Linked DNA regions of Canis lupus familiaris. The protein of the gene in region 3 purifies or fractionates together with the protein of the main gene of each other region. This does not show direct contact. Links are inferred from orthologs where the notes say so. Each region holds a gene or a part of one and is shown on either strand. Other genes may lie near its edges.

Region 1 (4,203 bases), on a different chromosome or scaffold from region 3:
AGTCACAAACTTCACACCATATACCTAATGTTTTCTTCTTCTGGACTTCAGTTTACTGCCTTGCTTCAACGTGGGCTCACTGCACTTACCAAATAAGCACACATCTAAGTTTACTACCACCACCAATAAGTAATGTAGGGAGAAGTGTCACAGGGAAAGAAACCCAAAGTAACCCAAGTTCATCTTTCTATAACTGTAAGGAAGAGTAACAAGCTACTTTCCAAACAGTAAGATGTGGCCAAGAGGATGTTCACATACTTTCATTCTGATTGACTGGGTCTGGTTAAAAATAAAACCTATGTTCATAGATTACTATATATCTTTTAGTCAAGTCCTTTTAAAATTATCCAGGAAAGAAAATTTAAAAAACAAAATTATTCTAGAATAAAAATTTGGTTAGCAGGAACTAGATTTTAAGTGTTTTGATAATGGTTATTAAGTACACAGAAAAATTATCTCCCGGCTTCTGAAAACAAAATTTCATAAATTTAAGTACTAATCATTTTTTATCATCTTTTCCAGCTACACATATAGCAGCAACTTTAAAACTGAAACTTTCCGGGACACCTGGGTGGCTCGCGGTTGGGCCTTTGACCCAGGGCGTGATCCTGGAATTCCAGGATGGAGTCCCACATGGGGCTCCCCGTGTGGAGCCTGCTTCCCCCTCTGCCTAGGTCTCTGCCTCTTGTGTCTCTCATGAATAAATAAAATCTTTTTTAAAAAGTTGTTTCCACCTGTCCCTACCTCTTGTTTTAACAATTGCCTTTAAGAACTTTGCCGCTCAGGACGCCCGAGTGGCTCAGCGGTTTAGCACCACCTTCAGCCCAGGGCGTGATCCTGGAGACCCGGGGTCGAGTCCCACGTGGGGCTCCCTGCATGGAGCCTGCTTCTCCCTCTGCCTGGGTCTCTGCCTGTCTCTCTGTGTGTCTCATGAATAAATAAAACCTTAAAAAAACAACCTTGCCGCACCAATTCTAACTGCTTTCCCTAACTAGTGATCCTTACAGGAAGCCATGACCGGATGGAGGAGTAGAGTGCTTCATTCGCTCACCGCCCTTCTCACACTTGTACTGTGGAAGGGAAGCTGGACAAGAATACAAATGCCCGGGCGCCCACCCTAACATTCCAGGTCAGTAAGTGCCGGAAAAAAGATTACTTTTAACCAGGAACCAAGAAGTCTCCAAAAGGAGACGGCATATCAGATACGGTTTCAGAGCCCTGGAATCTTAAAACTGTACTATTATTTCGGTAATCACGGCGATCAAATCTAGCGAGAAGCTGCCAATCTCTATACTCGTCCAACGACGAGTGGCTGCCACTTACTTTCATCTCTTGAGGCCGTTAAGTCTTTGAAATTGGCAGGTTTTACTTTGCTACCCAGATCAATTTCAAAAGCTCGTTAGCGACTTAATCTCGCCGGAGTGCTAGTCTCACCCTAACCTAACGGCGCGGCAATGGAGAGGCTTCAACGTCAACCGCAACTTACAACTTTAGAGAAAAGTTTCATCGTTCTGGACTCAAGAAAACTACCTCCCATCAGTAAAACCCAGGACAGTAGACTGAAAAGGTCAGCAACTCCGTATTCATCTGCCAGGCGAGCACGCAAAAGCTCTCGTCCCAGAGAGGCAGGAACTGCAGGTGCAGCCGTCCCTGCCAACTTCTTAAGAGTTAAAAAAAAAAAAATTAAAAAAAAAGGTACAGCTGAGAAGGGTGGCGGCGGGGGCAGAGCCGCACCCGGGCACCGCTGCTCGGCGGAAGGCCAACCCGACTGCAGCCGCTCGCGGCCCGCTCCAGACCCACAACACGGCCGAGGCCGTGCACGCGCGCCGCCGTCGGGGAGCCCAGAGCGGTCGCCCGCCCCTTCCCCGGCCTCGCCTCCTTCATGAGCGCCGGAGCGCGGCGCACGTAGCGCGCTGACGTCAGCCTCCCGCGGGCCCCCTCCCCCCCGCCGCGCGCCCGAGCGCCGAAACCCCCTGGAACGCCGCCAGCCTTCTAAATCGGGGCTGTTGCTGGGGCGCAGCCGCGGCTCCCATTGGCTGAGTCCCGGGAGCCAATCAGCGGCGCCAGCGCATGCCTCCCCCTCCCCCGCTCCCCGGGCTGGAACCGAGCGGGCGTCACGGAAACTTCCCTCCCGAGTAAACAGCCGCCCCTCACCCCGGCCCCCCCTTGCCGACCCCTCCGTGCGGGGCCCCGAATCCCAGAGCCCGGCGGGGGCTGCCTAAGGGCCAGAACTCCCCCAGCAGCCCCCATGACCCCTTCGCGGCCCTTACCTCTCTTCTGAACGAGGGCTGGCCGGGCGCCGGGGGCGGCAGCGGGCCAGGGAACGGGCTCGCTTCCTCAGTTTGGGCTGCGGCCGCAGGACCCGGGGCCAAACTGGAGGCCCGGTCCGGGACTTCCTGCGCTCCGCTCGGGCCCGTCGCGGGGCCCCGCCCGCCCTCGAGGCTCGGCCGGTGCTGCTGGTACTGATGGAAGCGGCTGGGCAGCTGCCCCGCCGGGCTGGCCCGCACCCTCTTCTTGCGCCGCTTCTTTGGCGCTGCCCGAGAGGCGCCTCCCGCCGGAGCCAGACCGCAGTTGGACAGAGGTGCTGGGGCGCGAGGCTGCGGGGTCAGGCAGGGACCGTCTCCCCCAAGGAAGTGAGGGAGGAAGAGGGTGGGGGGCAGTGCCCGGGGGTCCGGGATTCGGGGTAAAGGCGGCGGGGCCGTGGTCACCATCGGGAGAGCTCCGAAGTAACCGCGGGCGGAAAAGCCCAGGGGCGCAAGGCGGCCGCCCAGGACAAGGGGCTCCCGCTGCGGGACGGAGACGACGGTCATAGCTCTAGGAGGAAAGTGGCTCAGCGAGAAGAAAAGGAGGAAGAGAAGCCAGCGATTGCAGGGCGGCGGCGGCGGCTGCTGCTAAGAGAGCCCGAGGGGAGCGCGGACCATGGTTCGGGCGGTGGCGGCGCAGCAACAAATAGCCTCAGCCTCAGCGCCGAGTGTTGTTATCCGAAGCCCCGCCCTTCGCCCGCCCACCTCCTCCCGAGAGCCCAATCAGGATGCGGCGGCGCAGGCCACGCCCCCTCCGGCGCTCCCTCCCCCGCCTCCAAGAGACACACACAAACAACCAGCTTGCTGCAGCCCCGCACAAAGAGCGTGCACTGCGCAGGCGCTGCCAACGGGCTCTTTCGGGAAGAGTCGGTCCCGCGAACAATGAAGTTCCGTTTCAGCCCGACCTCCCCCACCCTGCTCCCTTCTCGCCTCCGCACCTTGCCCTGAAGGCAGGGGTCCTAGTGCTAGATCGAGGCCGGATTTGGAAAAGGGGATGGGGGCGGGAGAAAGAAACCTGGAAACCTCAAGGCCACGGATGCCTCCTCAGCCACTGACCTTGGTTGGGGGGGGTGGGGAGTCTCTCTTATTTCAAGCCCAGCAGAATAATAACATTAGGATTTTTTAAAAAGGTTTCAAAGTACGTTATAGGGGTTTCATTCTTAGCAATTGCAAGGAGATCAGTCCACATTTAAGTTCTGTTTGGCAAAGTGTGGCTTGCGTTGTTGTCTTCATTTACTCGGGTCACCAAGCGCTGTTCCTTAAACGCGGTAAAAAGAGTGAGAATTAAGGGGAGTGACTGATTGAAAGGGGCCCCTTAGCAAATACAGCGTTCCCCGTAAATCCGTGATTGAGCAGTGGGAATGTTACTGTCTTTATACTTGAAGGACTCTGAGACTTTGGGATCACGAAACGGTGCCTGGCACTGAGGAAGCAAAGGGGGAGGTTTGCGTCTCAAAGGGAGAAAGTGAAACAGCTCTGCAACCTGCAGTGTATCTTGCTAGCTGGGGTGTTCTGGAAATCCCACGCTCATCGTCTCTCCGCACTGCGCTCACACACACAAGCCATGGCTCTTTTATCAAGTACTTTTGTGGCAGAAACTGTGCTTTGCATAAATTATGTCATTTGAACTCGACCCTAAGGAATAGGTACTCTATTTTGTCCCCACTTTATCAGAGAGGAAACCGGCTTCGAAAAGCAAAAAGTACTTGTCAGGCTATCATACAGCAAGTTAATAGAATTTGAACTCCAGTCCAGGGATGGCAAGGACCCAAGTTTTAACATCATCCAAACTACCTGCCACTTTAGTTTGGAGACCACCACAATAATCTTACCCTTCTCTGTATCCTTAGCTGTATCGTAGCCTCTAGCCAATATTTTTCCGCTTTGTAGTGCTCGATAA
Region 2 (4,454 bases), on a different chromosome or scaffold from region 3:
CTATTACAAAGAAATAATACAGATATACTTAGACCAAAACACTCGCCAGGCTAGGAAGAGACTTGAAAAGATGAACTGCCTCAAAAAACCCAAGCCAACTGAGACCAATCTCAAACATTTTAAACTGTCAGTTCAAAGCAACCCAGAGAAGATTAGGTAGAAAGATATTGTGATTAAATTAGCATTAGCTGTCAAATGGCAATCTCTTCCCTTCAGTTTCCTCCCTGATGAATTCTCTAAAAATCCCTGCCACCTCTAAAAGTCAATGATTCATTACCCTTAATTGCATTACAACTCAATGAAGTATCACACAATTTTATTAATGTAAATCTACATATCTTGGAACAAGGCAAGACCATTCATTTTTTTTTTTTTTTTTTCTATTTCTGACAGCAACTGAGAATTCCTGAAATTGAGCTTTTGACTTAACTTTATGTTTTCTGGGGCAAAAATACACATTTGTGACTTTATGGATTTCAACTACAGAGGCTTAACGTTATGAAGAAAAATATTTTTTTCCCTCTTAAATTTTGCCCTTTAAGACAGTAACCAGGGATGCCTGGGTGGCTCAGCGGTTTAGCGCCTGCCTTCGGCCCAGGGTGTGATCCTGGAGTCCTGGGATCAAGTCCCACATCAGGCTCCCTGCATGGAGCCTGCTTCTCTCTCTACCTATGTCTCTGCCTCTCTGTCTCTCTCATGAATAAATAAAATCTTAAAAAAAAAAAAAAAAAAAAAAGTAACTGAAACAGAGACAGGTCTCCATGTCAAAATCTTTTGCTTGAGAAACAGCCAAGAGAATCTTTAGCTAACTTAATACTAAAAAAAACTATTAGCTAAATCCGTTTTAATAACACTTTCCAAAAAAGTGTATCCTAACTTAAAATATTTGCTGTTATCAAAAAATATCGATAAAAAACACAAAAGGAAACTGTTCTAAAAAAAATCTGTGAAAGCCTAAAACAGACTAGCAACTTTAACCAAATTTTCCAAGAAACCCAGAGTACTAAATAGTTGTTTTAAAAAAGAACTAGTCAACCTCCGTTTTTAATTATTCCCAAAAATCAAATTCTTACTTTGAAAAGTAGTAGGTAAAAACAATTTACAAAGGATGGACAATAAAGTACTGTTAGGTTTGTGCTTTTTTAACTCTTCTATTTCTTACCAAAAAATACACACTAGTTTATTAATTGATGGTGATTTTTTTGTGTGCCAAACACCAAAGATTCCAAAACAATAAATCTTTTCCAAGACAACTGGTTATGACTTTTTAAAAAACTGAATATTTAGTTGCTCAGAAGCAAATCCTGATTACCATATACACAAAGCTGTACATTTCTAAGTCTCTTAGAATCTAATGCCTTACGCAGACCGTGGTTAACAGCCAACCTAATTTCAGTTCAAGGCGGTAAATTGTTCCCTGTATCGACAGGTTTATATTATGATCAACAATATCACGGAGTTCACACAAGACTTGTTTGCAAATCCGTAAGATGAAGAGGGCAACCTCTAAAGATTAAGATAAATTATCGTCCCACGAGCTCTCTCTTAATCTAAGACCTCATCTCCCTAGATCCAAAATAGGACTATTACTCCCTTCTTACTTGAACCGAAACCTGCACTGCAGCTTTATGTCTCAGAGAAGGAAATATTCCTCCTACCCCTTCCCAATTTAGACTTGCAAGTTACATTCTACATTTTTCAAAAATACGAACGAAACGTAGACTAGTTGGGAGGAGCCCCTGGCGGAGTTAATTACAGCACTTCCCAGATTGTGTAGTTAGCAATTGACAGTTTCACACCCAAAAACAGTATCGTCATCTCAGACAAGAGCTTTTGTTTGCAAATGCAGCGCAGTTTCTCTAAGCTTGGTCTGCAAGTTGGAGGGACTGTTTTCTTCTGAGGGGAACGGGGGAGGGGGTGGGAGGGCTGTGGTAGAGAAAAGGGAGTGAAGGATGAGGGGGGACAAGCCAATGATTCGAACCCCGGATTGTGAGGTAATTTCTCGCTCCCCAACACGCCCCCCCCCAAACCACACACTTCAAGTCAGCCAGCCCCCTGTGACCATAAACACAAAAGGGTTGGGGCCCTATCTTCGCAGCTGCGCCACAAGAGCAGGGAACCAACTCCGCGGGCAGGAAACAATAGGGACTACCCCCAGAAGGCCCCAAAGAGAAACCCTTAAGTCAGAAAGCCCCTCCTTTTCCTCCACGACTCGGGGGCTCCATAATCACCCTCTTGTTACCGACCTACGAGGCCTTATTCCAAGCCAGCAGCAGCGGGTCCTCCTCCAAATCGAGCCCTCCGACGCTGCATGTCCCTGCCGCCCCCTATAGGGCCGCCTCGTACCCTATAACCTCCGCCATCCCCCGAAGTCCTTGCCGCCCCTGCGGACCCAGGTCCCCTCGTCCTCCACAAAGCTCCTCCGAGTACTTCGCCCGCTCCCTCTCCGGACCCCGCCGCGCAGGACACCCCCATACTCGACTCCGCTCAGGCGCCCCCCGCCCCACACGGCTGCCGCCCGCCGCCCGCCGCCCGCCTTCTTCCCCGGGACCCGGCCAGGCCTCAGGCCTCCGCCTCAGAGCACCCCCCCCCCCCCGCCGGCCGAGGGGCTCCCCGCGGCCCCGACCGCACCGCTGACCTCGACCCCACCACCTCACCCCACTCCCCGAGGCTCGGGCCCGAGTCCTACCGCCGAGGCCACTCCCGCTCGGCACCCTCGGTCCTTTATTGTTGACTCGAAGCTCCCAAAATGGCGGCGGCTCCTTCCTCCTCGGAAACCTCCGCCCGCCCCCACCCGGCCCCTCGCTTCTGCCGCCGCCTCCTCCTCCCGCCCCCGCCCCCGCCCCGCTCCGGGGGCCGCTCCCGGGCCGCCCGCGCCCGCCGGCTCTCCCGGCCGCCCGGCCCTACCTCCGCCGCTGCCCGCTCTCATGGCGCCGCCGGAGTCGCCGCCCGGGCTGAGCTAACTCGGCTGCTCTGCCCCTCCCCCGCCCGCCCGCCGCCCCCTCCCCCTCCGCTCCCCCTCCCCCTGCCTGTCCGCATGGCGGCGGCCGCGGCTCCTCCTCCACGCAAGATGGCGAGAGCTCCGCCGCCGCCGCCGCCGCAGCCGCCGCCGCCGCGCCTGCCGCGGCGTCACGGCCTCCTCGGCTTCGCGGCCGGCGCGGCGTTGGCCGGGGAACCTCCCCGAGGAGCAAACAGACGGCGGTGCTCTCACACCGACCGGGGCGACGGAGACTCGCAGGGGAGACACGGGTTCCTTTCAGAGTGGGACGGAGGGCTAGCTTTCTCCACAGCTGAGGAGAAACGAGTGGGGACACGGTGGCCGGGGAGAGGCGGCCCTGCAAGTCAAGCGGGGCTTGTGACCAGAGGAGGGGCGCCTTGTTCCCGAGCGAGGACGCGGCGTCCGGGCCGCGCGGCTCGGGGACGGGAGAGCTGACCTGACGTCCCCCGCGGGCCGCGGCAGCCGCTGCAGAGCCGGGGGCCTGCGGAGCCGGGGGCCGCGGCCGAGCCCCTGCGGGCGCGCCTCAGCCGGGAGCGCCTCAGCCGGGAGCGCGCCGCACTAGAGGCCCGGAGGTGCCGGCGCGCGCCGGGTGTGAGGACCGGAAGGGGGGCGACGGCCCCGCTGAGGGGGGGCGGGGGCGCGGGCTGCGACCTCCCCGCCGGGAAGGGAAAGCTGCTGAGGAGTCACTTCTCGTGGAAATAGGAACCAGACGGCGGCCGAGGGCGAGTCTTCCCGGGCCTGACCCCCCGCCCCCGCCCCCCCCCGCCCCCGCCCCGACCGCTGCTTCTCTAGCTCCGTGGCCGCCCGGCGGCCTCCTAACTACTCGTCCTGTCCTGATGGCTGCGCTTCTCCTGGGCAGGAGTGTGGGGAGCGCTGTGTGGCCCCGGGTGAGAGGAAAACTGGAAGCCAGGAAGCTGGTCAGGTCAAGGGAGTGGCGGCCCCCGGGTGTCCCCAGCGGACCGACCGGAAGCGGGACCCCCGCGCTCCCGGCGTCCCCGGCCAGTTCCCCAATTTTTGCCCCAGCTCCCAACTCGGGGCCAATCAGAGAAAGCCAAATCTGTTCCCCAAACCGACCGCTCGGACACGCCCCGCGGCTGGTTAGCCTGCCTCCTGCTCCCTCACGCCGGCAGCCTCCAATCACAGCGAGCCTCGGGACCTCCCTGCGTCCCCGCCGGTCTCCGCCGAACTCGGGAAGGGGCCGGCGGCCTCGCTCAGCGGGCTCCGAGGAAATGGCCTGGTCTCCTTCGGTCGCCTTTGTTTTTCTCCGCGCAGCCAATGGAAAGGTGGTGGAGAAGCAAGAAAAGCCCGTTCTTGCGATTATGAGGGAGGATCCCCCTTGACAGTTTTTAAGATCCTGAACGTGTAGCGTAGCCTGTGCTCTCCCACCCAGATTTTACACCGCCGCTGCTGTCAGGGAGCGACCCCGCACCCTGTGCCCAGCCTAGGGAGAGGGTGG
Region 3 (4,448 bases):
AGACTCTCACAATCCTGAGGTCATGACCAGAGCCTAAACTAAGAGTTGGATGCTTAAGCGAGACACCCAGGCACCCCACTTTCCCTTTCTGAAGCTAAAATGTCTTCCTCCGATTTTTAAATTTTAAAGCCAAGCTTCTGTATACTGCAATTCCTTCACTTTTAAAGTTTATCAAAGTTATTAGGGAAGGAAAAAAAAGAAAACATTATATCCTAGGATACTTTGCTTCATCATTGGACGATTTGGGTATATTTTGATGAATAGCAAATTTTGTGGTTTGTTAAGAAATACTGTCGAACACAATTTTTTATTCTTAAACCTTTGTTGAAGAATCATGAAACCTGAAGCTATACTCTGCCTTAAGGTAATTATTATAAAATGTATAACTAAAACATTTTAAGAATAAGAAACATCTTGATTAAAAGTACAACTCATTATCTTTCATTCGCTGTGACAAGTGTATTTAGGTGTTAGACACAATGTTTTTAAAAAAACCCAAATAACTATATTAGTGGCAGTTCACAGCTTAGGTAGAAGTGATGTATTTTAATGCAATCCACAAACTGTTAGAAAACTTTAAATGCTAGTCATATCAAATTGGGTTTGTTGGGATAAAAACATTTAAAAAATATTTAACATGCTGAGAGTATTGCCCTATCATAAACATCATCATAAAAACTTTTCCTTCCTAAGGATTCACAGGCTTTTTCTTGCCTTTCAAATGTTAAATTATTAAAAAAGAAATTGGCAATCTACGGTCTCACAGTGAAAGAAAACTTGCTCAAACAACACTGTGCAAAGTTACAACTCACTGTAAAATAAAAATACAAAAGATTTTGGTTATGCTCTATGGGCCATTAACCAAACGAACAGCTTCTTTTTCAATCCAGATAGATATAATTTGTATTTCATATTTAAAGCAGGACTCTACAATCAGAATTCTACAATTCTGAAAGTCTGTGAAAAACTAGAAATATGAGTGTTAGTCATAAGTTCCTGCCCCCAAGTCTTCATCATTTGTCTGCAATTCACATCTCACAAATTTATATGCAGACCAAATAAAGAAAAATGATTCAGAACAATTCAAACTAAGGCAATGTCTAAAACAGCTACACTAAAAAAAAAAAAAAAAAAAAAAAAGCAAAAAAACTTAAAAATAAGAATAAAAATCTGTAAGTTTGCTCTTTGTGGTTTTCCATACCTCTTCTTCCAGGAGGGGAAAGAAAGAAGATAAGGTAAAAAAGCAAGAGGATCCTGAAAGCTCTCTTCATCTGAGTTAAGTGTTTATAAACGTCAAATGATTTTCATACAATTACTGTTTAAATATAGCCTATGAGTCTGTTTTATACCGTAAAGGGCACATTACGATAATCTTTCAGGGTTTTGTTAGTAGTATTTCATTTTTCACTGAAATGTGAATGTGACTTGTTTATGAAATCAATCCAACAGACGTTGACAGATCATCTGCCAAAAGTAAAGCCTAAAGGAGTAAAGCATGGAGGGTCAATTGCTAGAAAACTGGAAATTATGTTACTTTTATTTTTATTATTATTATTTTTTAAAATAGTTTTTTTTTTTTTTAAAGATTTTGTTCATTTATTCATGAGAGACATAGAGAGAGAGAGGCAGAGACACAGGCAGAGGGAGAAGCAGGCTCCATGCAGGGAGCTCGACGCGGGACTCGATCCCGGGTCACCAGGGTCACGCCCTGACCTGAAGGCGGCGCTAAACCGCTGAGCCACCCGGGCTGCCCCTATTATTATTATTTTTAAATATTTTATTTATTTATTCATGAGAGACAGAGGCAGAGGGAGAAGCAGGCTCCATGCAGGGAGCCCGACAGGGGACTCGATCCTGGGTCACCAGGGTCATGCCCTGGGCTGCAGGCAGATGCTCAACCGCTGAGCCACCCGGGCGTCCCGAAAACTGGAAATCACGTTACTTTTAAACGGGGCCCAACAAGTCAGACAACAGACCCAATGTAACTTTTCGGACCCCCTCCCGTGCAAAAAAAAAAAAAAAAAAAAAAAGGCAAGCAAAGCCAACAATTACTTAGTAGGAAGGGAGCATTCCGAGGCGACCTCACCAGCAGCACAGCTGGAACTAAAACGCATTTACAGGGTCTCTTTTCCAACGGCTTCAAAGAAATGCAATTAACACGGAAGCCCTTTTCCTTAAGTGCCTTGAAATCCCCCCCACCCAAAAAAAAAAAAAAAAAAAAACCTCTGTAAATAGTACAGTTGGATAAAAGCCGGACTTACCCTCACCACCTCTCTTCCAAGAATGGAAACTAATTGGATTCGAAGCTTTATAAACCCAGATGACCTGGGCGAAGGGGGCTCTTATTTACGTGCCCGTCGGGGGGCGGGGGGGGGGGGGAGGACGCGTGTTTACTTTACGGATCACGCACAGGTAGTTTACCCCGGAGCCCGCACGGCCTCAGGCAGCGCCTTTCAGGTGTGTCTCCGACCCCCCGGTTCCCATCCTCCAGCACGTCTGCAAGGGAGGCAGCCCGCCCAGGTCGGACCGGACCGGACCGGACCCCAGCCCTCCCTCCCTCCTCTCGGCTCTTCCTCCCAGACGTCCTGGGCCTGCCTCCCTCGCCCCTCTCCGCACAGCCCCTGGAGGCCCTGGCGGCCCTGACACCCTCCAGCGGCCGGTCGGTCCGTCCCCCGCCCCCCCAACCCCCGCCTCCCCGAATCGCCCCCAACTCCGGAGAGTCCGCGCGGCCCCTTTAAGAGGCGGCGGCCGGGCGGACGACCTCGGAGGCCGCGCCGCACTCACCCACTGGTTGGCCTTGGGGCAGAAGGTGTACAGAGCGACCTGGCCCGTGAGGTCTGCGATGCTGGTGATGTAGGGGTCGTGCTGCTTCAGGGCCGCCAAGCTCATCTCCTGCCCAGCTCTACTCAGCGACTCCATCTTGAATTCCGGAGCCGAGCCCCTCCGGCGGGGGGCGGAGTCGCGGACAGGAAGGTGCCATCGAAGCAAAGTTCCCCCGGCTGCGTCAGCACCTTCCACTTCCGCTTCTTCGCAGGGCCTCGCGGAGGGGCGGTAGGTACGACGGCTATTGTGCTCCGCTACGTCCACAACCCCCGGATGCCGGGTTCCGGGGTTCCTGACGCCCGAGGCTCTTGGGGTGGCGTTGGGGGCAGGCGAGGGCAGGCGAGGGGGAGGGGGCGCAGGTTCTCCCTGCCTTTGGGGTAAAATGTCCTGACAGCGGGATCGGAGGCTGTCCGGGAGCTTTCTCCAGCTCTGGCTGTGTGTGGGCTCCACCATCGTGGGGACAGCATGGAGAAGGGAGGGAGGGGGAGAGGCAGGACCCCAAAAGTCACCCCAGATCGTCCATCTCACTACATCACAGCCGTCAACAATTTGGTGGGGTTTTTTTTCTTTTAATATTTTATTTAAATTCAGTTTGCCAACATATAACACCCAGTGCTCACCCCATCAAGTGCCCTCCTTAGTGCCTGTCACCCAGTCACCCCAATCCCCTCCCCCTTCCCTTTCTACAACCCTTGGTTTGTTTCCCAGAGCCAGGCATCTTTCATGGTTTGTCTTCCTCTCTAAAGCAAGTGCTGGGTGGAGACATCCCTAGCTCAGAGTTGCACACTAGCCAGGGTAATCTGGTAGGGGAATCCAGAGACTCCTTCCTTCCCCCCAGAGTCCTTTCCTCTGTACCATGGCTACCTTCCTTCATCCTTGAGAATGAGTCTCAACTCCCCTCCAGCTACTTTCAATCCAATATTTAAAAATCTGTACCCTAGTTTAAAAAGATTATGCATTTTTTGCATAGGTAATACAAAATTCAGACACACCTGAAACTAAAAAAATTTTTTTTTAAAGTAGACTTTTCTTCTTTTATTTATTTATTTTTTTACTTTTCTTCTTTTAAAAATAATGATTTTATTAAGGTGTAGTTGTCATATAACACTATTAGTTTCAGGTGGACAGTATAGTGACTTGATATTTGCATACATTGCAAATGATGACAGCCACAGCCCAGCGAACATCTATCACCATGCATGGTTACAAGAATTTTTTTTCGTGGTAAGAATCTTCAAGATCTGGGTCTCCTAGCTGCTTTCAAATATGAATTACTATTATTAGCTGTAGTCATCAGGCTGTATGTTACATCCCCAGGACTTATTCTTTTTTTTTTTTTTTTTTTAAGATTTTTATTTATTCATGAGAGACACAGAGAGGGGCAGAGGCACAGGCAGAGGGAGAAGCAGGCTCCGTGCAGGGAGCCCGATGTGGGACTTGATCCTGGGACTCCAGGATCAGGCCTTGGGCTAAAGCCGGCGCTAAACCGCTGAGCCACCCGGGCTGCCCCCCAGGACTTATTCTTTAGTTTTTTTCTTACATAGGTTTACTAAAATCTAAGACATTTCATTTTTATTATTTTTAACTGAACAGGGCTAGACTAGAGAAAAGACACCAAGCTATTT
Region 4 (4,268 bases), on a different chromosome or scaffold from region 3:
TAATGTTGCCATGAGCATGCTTGATGTTCTTAAAAACATGCAAGTCTTTATGTAGACATGTTTTCAGTTCTCCTGGGTACATATCTAAAAGCAAACTTGCTGAGTAATATACTAACTCTATGCTTAACGTTCTGAGGAACTGCCAAGCTACTTTCCAAAGCAATGAACCATTTTATATCCCTACCAGCAATATATGGGCATTTCACTACTACATTTTCAACCCATGAAGATGTTCTAATTACTGAATGGAAAGAGAGGTGTGCTCCCCTCAACCACATAATAATTCACTGCTAAAAATACTTAATTAACAAAAGAGAAGTATATTTCCCACAGGAACACAAGGAGTAAAATGTTATAAGTCCGACTGTAGAGGTTTCCCCTGCTATCTGAAAATAGAACATTCCTATGAAATCTTCTGTAAAGCCAAAATGGCATAAAGGGGGGGGGGGAAGCAATTACCATTAATTTTTATGAAAAATGTTTCAGCATTCCCAGGCTCCTCAAATAACCTTTCTTAGGCTTTTCTGATACCTTAGGACATATCTTGCCAACAAACGCACAAAATAAATGGAGATAAAGCCCAGAGGCTCATAGACACAGTTCAGAGTAATGGCAGTGTGATGCTGAGAAGCTGAGTGTAGTTCCCAGGGAAGGAGATTGGCGGTGCCACTCTTACTGCCCAGTTGCGCACTGCCTCTACTACTGCTTGCTGCAAAACAAACACTGAAGCTATTCTCACTTTTCAGCTTCTTTCCTAAAAGCCAAACTCCTCTCCAGATTCCTTGCAGTTAGTAAAAACAGGCACTAATGTAGGTCCTTCCTAAAAAACCAAGTGGCAATAAAGTGAACCTTCAAAAACCCAGGGAGACCTCTACTGCCCAAGTGAGTTAACCTCTCAGGGGCCAACTATTAAATCATAAAAGAGAGAGGTTGTAATGGCATTTACGTCGCAACCGCAACGTAACTTAACAATCCAAGTAAAGGTGCTTTCCAACATTGATTACTGGTGAGTTAACCCCGGACAAAGCGTTAGGGGCAAAGGGCTAAATGCCCGATCCCTCCTCCTCCTGCATGCAGGGTTCTTTCCCGTCGGGAGGGGTTGCTGAGTGGCAGCGGGGGCTGCAGCCACCTCCCTTCTCGGGAAGAGCCGGCCATATGAGCCACGCAGGATAAATTGTTAGAGCTCCAAAAGCTTTCCAGCCCAACGTCAACCCAAGGCGAGAGATTCCGCACCTTGCTACTCGGCTTATCAAGTCAGCGGAGGATCTTTCTTCTTCTTCTTTTTTTTTTTTAATGGTAGCAGACACATTTATTATGGTCGAAGAAGGAGACGCAGAGAACACAAGCATATCCCTCCAGCCACAAACCCCGTCTGTCTCTCCAACGCACCCCCCATAAGCAAAATAAACATGAAACCCAATCCATTACGAACTCCAGAGGCTTATCAACCCCGGCGGCCCTCACCCTCCAAAGACTCCCCTTATCGAACCCCCCTGGGACAGATGGCCCGAAGCTTACCTGGTGGCTTCCTCCAGCTCGACCGCTCTCTGACCAGGCGCCTGCAGAGGCGTAGTAGCCATCCCCTCCTCCGCCTTCTCCCGGCCAGGTGGTCTCAGCAGGGCCGCCCCCGCGCACCCGCCAGGAAATGGGAGGCTGGGGAGGTTCAGGGCGAGGAGGATACGAGGGCGGAGGCGGGTGCATGGGCACGTCTCCCCCGCCCGGCCCGTAGTAGCGGCCATACGAAGGACCGTCGCTGGGGCCGTAGCCCGAGCGCCTCAAGGCCGACATGGGCTCTAATGCCCCGCAGCGCTTCCCGCCCCCCACGGCCAGCCCATGGCGCAAGCGCCCGCCGACGAGAGGAACTGGAGAGCAGGGAGAGGGGTCGGCCGACAGCAGCCAATCCTGGCTCGGGCCCGCCCCTTCGGCGGCGAGTCCCGAGAGTCGTGGGACGGAGGTCCGTGCCTCGGGGGAGGCGGGGGGCGGCTGTCTGGGAAGCTGGAGGACGAGCTGCAGCCCTGCGTTTCTTAAAAGGGAGACTACGTTTTCCCTACCATCTAGTCAATCTAGCTTCCTCTTCCCCTTTTACCGGGGGCGGGGAATGGGTGTCCCGGGACCGCGCCAGTCCCGCCTCTTCCGGAGGACGGGCACGTGATACCGGAAGTGGGTGGGAATAATATGGAGGCGTTTCCGGCAGGCCCCGGCTTCTGAAAGCCGGGGCGGACGTGCTGCTCCTGGTCCGGGTTCCTGTCCCGGTCCCGCCGAGGCGGCGACTGCGGTCAGAAAGAAGGAGGTGTTGGACGCACTGGCCCGCCGCCGCTATACTCTGCAGCCTTATCTCAGCTCAAAATGAACTATATGCCCGGTACCGCCAGCCTCATAGAGGACATCGACAGTGAGTAGCTCATCTCCTCTGCGTGAAGTCGGGTGAGATCCTTCCTCCCGGGCGGACACCTCTTCAGGGGGAGCTCGTAGAAGGAGTCTGGGGCGGGGGGAGTGTTTTTAGCACGCTTCTGGCTGTTCGGCGTTGACATGCTCCACGTGAGTGAAGAGCCTCAGGCACTCCATTTGTCCACCTCCTAGCCGCCTGCCTCTCTCCTGCGTCTCGCAGCCTCCACCAGCCCGTGGGCCGATAAGCCACAAGCTGTAGAATTCACTCCTGCTTTGGAGGGACGCGGCTGCCAAGACCCAGACGCCAGAGTTGCCCCTCCCCACGTCCACTCTTTCCCACCTGCAATATATATCGAAGTACCAGCTTGTTACTGGTAGACGAATGAGAGTAGAGAAAGGATTCGTTAAGAAACGAACGTTTTAAAAGATAGCAGCGGTTGGACTTAATTGGCAGTAAACGCAGGTTTTATGCTGTGTAGCCATTTGCAATATCCTTTTACCGTCAGGTTCTTCAGCACTTTCAGACAAAGGTATTGACTTTTCTGGAAAGGCTGAATCACTTCAAACTTATTTTTCTGTTCGACGGTTTTCTCTTACTTGTACTAAAAAGACCTCCCTTTTCTCCCCATCGTTGTTCTAAAGAAGAGTTCGGTCCTGCGCAAAAGAAAGACTCCTCTCTGTCCCTTTCTAAGCTCTCTTCTGTGAATTACTCCTCAAGCAACATTTTCTAATCCTTTAAAATCCTGTGGTCTGTCTCATTAACTTATAATTGCTGCAAAAGTGGTTTACACAGTTCCAAACAAGTTACAACAATCACGGTTATTATGTATGCAAATTTAAGAAGTGAGTCCCTGGGGCGCCTGCCTGCCTCTGTCAGTAGAGCAGGTGACTCTTGGTCTCAGAGTTGTGAGGTCAGCCCCACTTTGGGTTACTTAGAGAGTACTTCAAAATACAATTTTTAAAAAAATAATAAAATGTGAGTCTGTGATCATACTCTCTTCGTTGTCTGAAATCATTCTTTAAGTCCAAATTAGTGGGGCGCCTGGATGGCTCAATCCGTTAGGTGTTTGCCTTTGGCTCAGGTCATGATCCCAGAGTTCTGGGATCCAGCCCCACATGGGGCTCTCTGCTCAGCGGAGCCTGCTGCTCCTCTCCCTCTGCCTGCTGTTCCCCCCTGCTTGTGCTCTCTTTCTCAGTTAAATAAATAAATAAAATCTTTAAAAACAAATCAGTAAATAAATCCAAATTAGTGATTTTGCTATTGAAAGAAAATGTAGTGTGAATTGGACTGTATTTGTATATAAATAACAATTGCACAAATCCACCTGTAATATGTAATGAAAAATTCAATTTTAGTTGTCTGTGGATGCCCTTTTGCCCCCACCTCTCATTTTATTTTATTTCATTTTATTTTATTTTATTTTATTTTATTTTATTTTATTTATTTTTTTAAAGATTTTATTTATTTATTCATAGAAACACAGAGAGAGAATGAGAGGCAGAGACACAGGCAGAGGGAGAAGCAGGCTCCATGCAGAGAGCCTGACGTGGGACTTGAGGCCTGACGTGGGACTCCAGGATCACGCCCTGGGCTGCAGGCGGCCCTAAACCGCTGTGCCACCGGGGCTGCCCACCTCTCATTTTATGTATCTGAATTATATGAAGCCCCTAATAAATCCTGCTGTTCTACTAAAAATAATTTTTGTTCTCAAACCCTCTAACGCCTTCTTTGTAGACTCCAAGCCCCCTCCTTTACTGAAAAGTTTGAAACCATTCCTTATGTACCCTTCGCTGTCCCCCCAATGACACACAATTTCCTCCTTTCTCCTCAGTCTTTCTGCATATGCACCCATCCTCTCATCTGAGTAGGAGGTATTCCT

The links.
Region 1: the proteins of DCP1A (region 3) and PNRC1 purify together in Homo sapiens (affinity purification with mass spectrometry; 3 studies listed by BioGRID and IntAct, with this or other methods). This does not show direct contact. The link is inferred for Canis lupus familiaris from reciprocal best matches to the Homo sapiens genes DCP1A and PNRC1.
Region 2: the proteins of DCP1A (region 3) and DDX6 purify together in Homo sapiens (affinity purification with mass spectrometry; 8 studies listed by BioGRID and IntAct, counting the BioPlex papers as one, with this or other methods). This does not show direct contact. The link is inferred for Canis lupus familiaris from reciprocal best matches to the Homo sapiens genes DCP1A and DDX6.
Region 4: the proteins of DCP1A (region 3) and BAG4 purify together in Homo sapiens (affinity purification with mass spectrometry; 4 studies listed by BioGRID and IntAct, counting the BioPlex papers as one, with this or other methods). This does not show direct contact. The link is inferred for Canis lupus familiaris from reciprocal best matches to the Homo sapiens genes DCP1A and BAG4.

Annotation. Positions count from the first base shown.
Region 1 is NC_049233.1:48,554,222-48,558,424, reverse strand, and holds the start of PNRC1 (proline-rich nuclear receptor coactivator 1), read right to left. Parts: upstream 2,972-4,203; 5' UTR 2,811-2,971; coding exon 2,271-2,810; intron 1-2,270. UniProt on the Homo sapiens protein: Nuclear receptor coactivator. May play a role in signal transduction.
Region 2 is NC_049226.1:15,026,230-15,030,683, reverse strand, and holds the start of DDX6 (probable ATP-dependent RNA helicase DDX6), read right to left. Parts: upstream 2,972-4,454; 5' UTR 2,908-2,971; intron 2,794-2,907; exon of another isoform or gene 2,690-2,793; intron 2,683-2,689; exon of another isoform or gene 2,658-2,682; intron 1,831-2,657; exon of another isoform or gene 1,694-1,830; intron 1-1,693.
Region 3 is NC_049241.1:36,887,117-36,891,564, reverse strand, and holds the start of DCP1A (mRNA-decapping enzyme 1A), read right to left. Parts: upstream 3,007-4,448; 5' UTR 2,920-3,006; coding exon 2,785-2,919; intron 1-2,784. UniProt on the Homo sapiens protein: Necessary for the degradation of mRNAs, both in normal mRNA turnover and in nonsense-mediated mRNA decay. Removes the 7-methyl guanine cap structure from mRNA molecules, yielding a 5'-phosphorylated mRNA fragment and 7m-GDP.
Region 4 is NC_049237.1:28,039,996-28,044,263, forward strand, and holds the start of BAG4 (BAG family molecular chaperone regulator 4), read right to left. Parts: upstream 2,972-4,268; 5' UTR 2,393-2,971; coding exon of another isoform or gene 2,347-2,392; 5' UTR 2,055-2,346; coding exon of another isoform or gene 2,052-2,054; 5' UTR 1,789-2,051; coding exon 1,519-1,788; intron 1-1,518. Other genes in the region: U6 snRNA-associated Sm-like protein LSm1, read left to right, coding at 2,347-2,392. UniProt on the Homo sapiens protein: Inhibits the chaperone activity of HSP70/HSC70 by promoting substrate release. Prevents constitutive TNFRSF1A signaling. Negative regulator of PRKN translocation to damaged mitochondria.